2 linked regions of the Caenorhabditis elegans genome follow. The protein of the gene in region 2 interacts with the protein of the main gene of each other region in a pairwise test. Each region holds a gene or a part of one and is shown on either strand. Other genes may lie near its edges. The genes, in order: abu-11 and lys-8.

Region 1 (3,931 bases), 5.4 Mb from region 2:
AATGATTCATAAATTTTTCTATTCTAGAAATTTCTCTGTAATTATCATCCCAAGAGGGAATAATAATGATAAAATATTTAGTGAAGATGTATGATGCAGGAGATGAACATATGTAGAAAACAATTTATTTATCAAAATATACACAAAAAACCATCACAAAGTTATTTTTTCCCAAAAATTAATAATTAAAGTTAATTTACTTTCTGCAGGAAGCCGAACAACTCTGCTGACAAGCTGGCTGACACTGCGAGATTGGTTGCTGTTGCTGAATGCATTGGGTGTTGCAGCTTTGCTCACATTGTGGCTGACACTGTGGGGACTGACGAGCAACTGGAACATTGATGGTAAGCTGAATTTGTTGTTGCGTTTGAACTGGAGCTGCTGGAGCAGCTGGGGAGCAGGCTGGCTGGCATTGAGCGTCGCATTGTGGAGCGCACTGGTTCACTGGGGTCTGCTGGACTTGGCATTCCTGGTTGCACTGGGTTTGGCAAGTGTTGCACTGGGAGATGGTTCCTCCGACCTACAAATTTAGGTTGGATTTCTTTAAATCTAGATTTAGAAGTAATACTATTAATATGTTACCTGAACATTGGTGTCTCTGTATGGCTGGTAGGTTGGTGCAGCAGTCTGGGAAGCTCCTTGGTATGATGGAATGGCTCCTGGCTGTTGGTAGTTGTTGTTGGTTTGGTAGTTGTTCTGGGCCTGTGGCTGGTAGTTGACTTGGTTGTAAGCGGAGCCAGATGGCGTGGCACATTGTGGCTGGCACGATTGATCACATGATGATTGGCACTGTTGCACTGGCTGCTGTTGCTGCTGGCATGTGTTAAGGCACGAGTTTTGGCAGGTATTGCATTGACTGGCTTGTTGCTGTTGTGGTGGGGCAGTATTGTACTCGGATCTTCCGGTGTAGGCTGGGATTTGTCCTGGCTGAGCGTAGGTTTGCTGTTGGATCAATTGTTGAGAGTACTGATCATCGGATTGACATGTCGTCTGGCATTGCTGCTGGCACTGTTGCTGTGGTTGTTGTTGTTGTGGGCAAGCAGCTTGACAATCTTGTTGGCACTGTTGCTGAGCTGGCTGCTGAAGCTGAACTGGCTGAGCGCATGCGGACTGGCAAGTGGAAGAGCAAGATGATTGGCACTGGGCGATTGGCTTAAATAATATGAAATGGCTAACTGGGTTGAATTTGGTTTGACTAACCTGTTGCTGGGCAACACAGCTCTGTTCACAGGAGCTCTGACAAGTTGGTGCACACTGTTGTTGCTGATACTGTTGAGCGCATCCGCAGCTTGATGGCTGTTGAGCTTGAGCGCAGGAGCAAGATTGTTGGGCGGTGTTGGTTTGAGCTGGTTGGCAGTTGCATTGTGGAGCAGCTGGAATGGCGCATCCACATGAAGATTGGCGACGAGCGCGGAGGAACTGAAAAAGGAACGACTTAATTTTTCAACTTAATTTTTTAGTCTTCTGGATAATATCTCATTTGCAAAAAACCTTCTAAATAGGCCCTTGCAAAAAAAATTAAGCGGCAGAGGAGAACTTAGAACTAGAAAAATTTCGATCTGAAGTTGCTATTAGTGTATTTTTTTTATTACTTTAGAAGCCCGTAAAATTGAAAATCAGAAAAACCCCTTGAGTGAAAAAATTTCAGATTTTTTCAAAAAATTAAAAATTCCAAAAAAATTTACGATTGTTAGCCAGCTCCTAAACATGCTAGAAGCTCTTGAAAGTCAGCAAAAATTCACACTTGGCACATTTTTACTGCCCTCGATAGTTCGAAAGTTGTGAAAAATTCATTGAAAACTTTTCAGAACGACTTTTTTGCAGCTCAAAATACTCCCCTGTTGCTAAATTTTCAGTAGTAAAATAATGAAGTCAAACGATAAACTATTTGAAACATATATTAAGAAGTTCCTATATTTTACTTAATTCATATTCAAGTTATGCAATTGCTTGTGAGTGAGCACGAAATGTTTTAAAATTAAAAAATAAGTATTTATAATATAAGAGTTAGAAAAGGGGAACAAATGAAATATTTATAATTAGATTCATAAAAATAATACATACCACATTCTCCTCAGCAGCCACCGCAAGTGCTGAAACCGCCAAAAGCGAAAAGAGAATTGAAAATTTGGTGTTCATTTCAAGCTTGTCAGAGTGAGTGATGATTGTCCCAATACATGCTCTTGCTTATATATCTTCCCGTTGCAATCAGTTAAACATCGCCCCCTCTCCTCTACTACCACCTCTGTCCCAAATTCCGGTTTCTTCGAGTGATGCGTCTCCAAATTTTTTGCGTGTGCCTGTGTGTGTGTGTGCTCATGTGTTTGGAAGAGCAGAGCAAGAGGGGGAGGGCGTGTTGTTATGTTGACATGTTGTTATTTTTTTGTTTTTTACTTTCTAGTATTCACAAGGGTTACAGTTGAAGAACTGGAGGGACGTGATCTTTCAGGACTTGGTCGATGTCAAAAGTCTTCCGGTGGTCTTTCAGCAGCCATCACAAACTACAGCAAAATATCTTTCTTCTTTAAATAATCTTTCTGATTAATTTGCAGTCACAAATTCAGTTCCTCATTCCTCATTACTCATAGAGTTATTACAAAGACAAAAATAGATATTTGAGAGTTCACTCGGTCAATCACCATTTCTAAAGTTCTTACTTTTCTTCCCAACAACATTAATTATCCCTGTGAAGTCTAGACTATGATATAATTGTTGTTGCTCAGAAAATAATCATGGAACATATTTGCAAATAAATAGATTTTTGTATATGGTGTAAATGTCATGAGTAATATATTACGTAATAACATTCTGACAGGACAATAACGTATGCTCCATGGGGTTTCAGGACGAATGACATGTTTTCTAGAAACTACATGAGTAAAATAAATTAATAACAAGATTTTGACAAATTCAAAACCCAATGGCAAAAGTATCATTTTCAACTTTAAATGGTTATGTTTGCAAATATAAGCTGTTTTTGTTGCTCTAGGAAGATATCAGTTAAAAACTCTTTAAAAAGTTATTAAAATGTATGAAGATTGCTTTCATTATTCTCAAACTTGTCATGTAAAACATCAAAAACCTGCCAGTCTATGACCTACAAATTGCGTCAATTGTTTGATGTTCTAAACTTGGTGAGAACTAGTTTACCAGCGCTGAATCTTTTTTGTGCTCAAAGCGGAATGGAATTTTTTGATCTTAGTCATTGCATCTTTACTCTTGTGGAGGTGCACTCATACTAATATCATATCATATAACCTGATAGTCTTGCCAATATTGCGGGAAACTGATAAATCCACTCGGCAAATAGTTTTGGTGCAGTTTTCGATATTTAGTACGAATGTTTTTATAAAATTATTTCAAGGGAAACCTTGAATACTTTGTAAAATTACATTGTACCTTTTTGCAGATAGAGGTCTTAAATTCATATTACATTTTTTTACAGCGCCTTCACACCCACCCAAATCCAAATTCCGTTGAATTGTTTTCATTGATACTCATGATTTTTTGTTACCACAATCGCTCACGCTTTTCAAGAGATTATTCTTGAGGAGCATGTTTCCTTAGGATCAAGGGTGTGGGAAGAACATTGCGAGAGTGAGAATGAGCACGGAAAATGACCGGTCTTTATGAGAGCGGAAGTATGTATACACTATCTCTATCTTGTTAGACAAATAATCAACACATGTAGTAGCTAATGTAGGAATGCTAATTATGTTAAGACGTGTGGGGGGATTAGATGCTGTGAATGAGCAGTTCTACAAAAGATCAAGGGGTACTGAGAAATTTGCTCTTTTCGATAGGAAGACTCTGCAAAAGATCAGATGCATGGATTCTCAAATCACAGCGTGTATTTGAGAGCTACACAACAAAAAATGTGTACGGCTGTCGAACCGTATTATACAAAAACTTTTCAAATTAGGGGCGGGCG
Region 2 (3,931 bases):
GCGATACATGACGCAAGTTCCAAAAACCGAGCAACGAATTGCCAGATGGGTGGCAATATTAGGAGAACAATTCCGTATACGTCTTCGAATGAAACCTGCAAATTACATGTGTCGAAAACATTTCCCGCAAGCGGATTTCAGTTCTCGTGGACGACTTCTTAAAACAGCTGTTCCAAATGTTGTTTCCCAGGAGAAAGTACTGGCATTCAAGCTTGAAGGAAACACGTTCGTTGAAGTCAAAGAAGACAATACGAATATCAAAATGGAAAAGGGAACGGACTCGGAAATAGATATAGAAAATTAGAGCCAAGCTCGCATTGTTTTGTTGTTATTTGTTTTTAGATTCTCGTGTTTTGTTTTTTTGTAATAAACTTTATTTTCAGATTTTCATAACATATTGGGGGTACAGTTAGATACAAAATATAAGTAGTCAAATTCCACTTATTTTCGGAACTGATAAAATCTATTGACTTCCTTGAATGAATCCTCCAGCGTAGATCTTTCCATCCTCTTCAACAGCGTCAGCGGCCTTGAGCATAGTTCCAGCAGCATAAACATCTCTGTTGACAGTGAACTGGCAAACTTGCTCAACTTGAGCGAATTGTTTGACAGATGGAGTAGTCCAGCATCCGAACGCGCGGAAATCAGCAAAACTGGCCGGGGTCTCTCCATTGACACCACCTCCAAGGACATTCCAGTACCAGAGGAGAACATCATTTCCAATGCTGCTCCATCCGTTGGTGATCTGGTTCCAGTCGTAGTAGGAAGTGTAGATTCCGACAGTCATTCCATATTGCTGTAAATTATATGAATTTTGATATGAAATTTGTTGCAGAAGTATGAACTAATCGGTTCAGTTTAAAAACGTCTTAACCCAAAGGTCTTATCAGATTAATCAATGTTTTAGACTATAATACGAATCATTCGAGTTTTCGTATTTGAATGTATTTCAATTCCTTGAGCAAAAAATCAAGCTTCTACAGGAAACTTACTCTAGCTCTTGACACAATACTGTTGATAAAGTTGACATTGTTATTAGCATTGCTTGGCCAGTTGGTTGGAGAAGTGACCTGGATCCATACAGATCTGATTGTTATTCCTCTTGCAGTCAATCCTTGGTAGATCTCATCCAATTGTTGGTATCCTTGCTTGCTTGAAGCCGGCTGTGGAGTCATGTAGATCTCTGTTCCGAGTCCAGCGTTATACGCATTCTGAATAGTATTGCAGGAGTTGGTGTCGAAGGATCCTTGTCCAGCTGGGTTGTATGCACTGGAAATTCGATTTAATTGTTATGGAGTTTTAGAAAATGTTCATCAAATTATGAACGTTTGGAATCGAAAAATGAATTAATCAGAAACGAAAGCAGGCAAATGTTTGCCCAAGTTTGGCCAAAAATATTAAAAAGGTTCTGAAGTGACAATACATGACCAGAACTTGTTCTGGTTTAGCTCAAGTTTAATTCAACTGTTGACAATATCTTTACACTTGGGCCAACCTTGGGCAAAAAAAGATTCAACTTTTTTTTATAAATAACAATTTATAGATAGGTAAATCATAAAATCTTTTTCAATTCTTACCGGACAAAGACTGCCGAATAACCAGCTTGTTTGAGGCACTGAAGCTGGCTCAATGAAACTGGAACAGACAAATCAACAGCGAAAGCATATGAAGCCAAATTTGGTGGAACTCGTGGAGCAGCCTCAGCAATGACTTCTCTGAATTTGACTGGAAGAGATGAGTCAACGAATGGAAGGACCTTGACGGAGACTGAAGCCGAATGGCAAAGTACTGCCAGTACTGACAAAAGAGCCACTGATTTGAGAAGCATTCTAGAAAATGTTCAACTTGAATGAGTTAAGAGAAAATTATTAACAAAAAGAACAAAGAATAAGAAACCAAATTTTATAAAAATCAAATACTAAACCGAAATGTTGAAGAAACTGGAGTGGTTATCATGATTTATAGTCTTTATCAAAGAGCTGGCAAGTACCGCTTGTCCATCTGAATTTATAATTTCGGAAAACATTATCATGATATCACACTCTGTTATCAGTAACTGTGTACACACTTTTATGTCATTAATGTCGATGAAAAGAACATCACAAATTATGTGGAATACCGGTAATTGAGCGTGGGCGTTTTGATGATTTTTTCTAGGTTCAAATTCTCGTAAATGACAATTTGTTGTCTTTTATTAAATTGATAGTTCATAAGTGAACACAATTTTTTTCTGACTAACAGATAGTGGTAAGATTTTCAAAGCGATTATGCATATGTTTTACGTTCAACTTTGACCATAACAGCGAAGAAAATTGAAAGTTCTTGAAAACTAGAACTGTAAAATGTATGATATTCTCCTTCAGCACTATACCAATTCTTTTATACAAAAATCCCATTTGCAGCTGAATAAACATTCTCCTTCTTGTTCCATAATTTTTCCCATTTCACTATATTTTTACCGTTTAACATGTCTGTTTAAACTGTACTAACATCCAACGATAGCCCCTGTGAGCAATCCAATTGTTTAAAAATCATTAATCTATTTTTAATGTGAATTCAATTAGTCGAGATTTGTCTTTGGATGGAATAAAAACGAAGATGACGAGTTTAAGAAGTGATGTCATTTCCAGAGGAACAGAGAGTAAAGAATTCGAATTGTTGAAACAGCTGAAATTGTAGATCCATTTCGAGATCAATTTAGTATTTGATAATGAAAAGTGACGTGTCTGTCTATTCATTGAACAAATAACAAAAACGATAAATTTTAGTCCTGAAGCCAATTATTGGTATTTTCTAAAAACTTTGAAGATTTTTGATCCATTATTAATTTCAACTAATTCTTGGCCAAATTGTTGAATTCTTCAGTTAACGTATATTTACTTAACTTTAAAGTGGCTTCAATTATATCCAGGGACCTCTTTAGGCTCTCCTACCTACATTGGGTTTTCAGTATTTTAGTTTCCATCCGTACTTGCCTGCCACATGTCTACCTTCATGCCTGTCGTCGATGTTCTGTATTTCTTTCGTGATCCTACTGCCCGCCTGCCTGTCTATGTGCCTACCGCCTATTTCATTACTTTTAATATTATGCCACATTTTGATGTTCCAGATATCATATAGCTTGTTCTATATCCAATGTTCCTTTGAAAATTGAAAAATCAGAAATTCAATGATATCGTAAAAAAACGAATATATATTCTTTTTTAGCTTCTTCCTGTATTTACTTATGTTTTTTCCTTCTGAATACACACACATTTCTCTCTCACTTTATTATCATAAATCATCATAAAAAAATCATTGGTGACGTCAAAGTTTACATTTTTGGAGGTGCTGTGAAGAATTGTTGAAAGTCGAAGTTCTCGGTGTGATATGAAGACTTTGGAGGTTGTCGTTCAGCGATTTGATGCCAAGTGAAAGCGGATGTACGATGGAAAAACTGAAATGATAATTTGTGTAAATAAATAATATATTCAAAAAAAACTAACGCTCAACTCGACGAAAGCACTTTGAATTTCTCCGAGATGCAATATTTTGGCATTCACATACTTTTCCTTGATGAACTTCGAAATCGCTTGAGCACTTTCATCGCGAACACTTTGGGTTTCCGGCTTCTGTTGTTTGACAACCTTCAGCAGATCTCTCTTCATATCCACATACTGAAAAGTGAAACTTTATGGTTACATTTATGAAAAACTTCTGAAGAAACTAGAGCTTTGAATATTGATTCCTGATAACAAACCTTTGGATATTGACCGTAAAGAAACTTTTTGACTCTTTTGAGATGCTTGGGCCCTCGAGTCTGCAAGTTTCTTTCAGCTGATGCCAGAACGACCGCATTCTTTGCAATTGCATCGTTCATTGCTGGTTGCAACTTTGTGTCCGTTTTCCAGTTGTTTTGAGTCAACTGTACTTCCTTGTTCAGCTTCTCCGC

Evidence for each region.
Region 1: the proteins of lys-8 (region 2) and abu-11 interact in a two-hybrid assay, tested with the Caenorhabditis elegans proteins (one large-scale study listed by BioGRID).

The regions. Positions count from the first base shown.
Region 1 is NC_003280.10:192,396-196,326, forward strand, and holds abu-11 (Activated in Blocked Unfolded protein response), read right to left. Parts: upstream 2,164-3,931; 5' UTR 2,140-2,163; coding exon 2,065-2,139; intron 1,420-2,064; coding exon 1,201-1,419; intron 1,153-1,200; coding exon 583-1,152; intron 521-582; coding exon 197-520; 3' UTR 114-196; downstream 1-113.
Region 2 is NC_003280.10:5,584,076-5,588,006, reverse strand, and holds lys-8 (LYSozyme), read right to left. Parts: upstream 1,830-3,931; 5' UTR 1,829-1,829; coding exon 1,578-1,828; intron 1,270-1,577; coding exon 993-1,269; intron 797-992; coding exon 464-796; 3' UTR 356-463; downstream 1-355. Other genes in the region: C17G10.13 (THAP-type domain-containing protein), read left to right, coding at 1-304.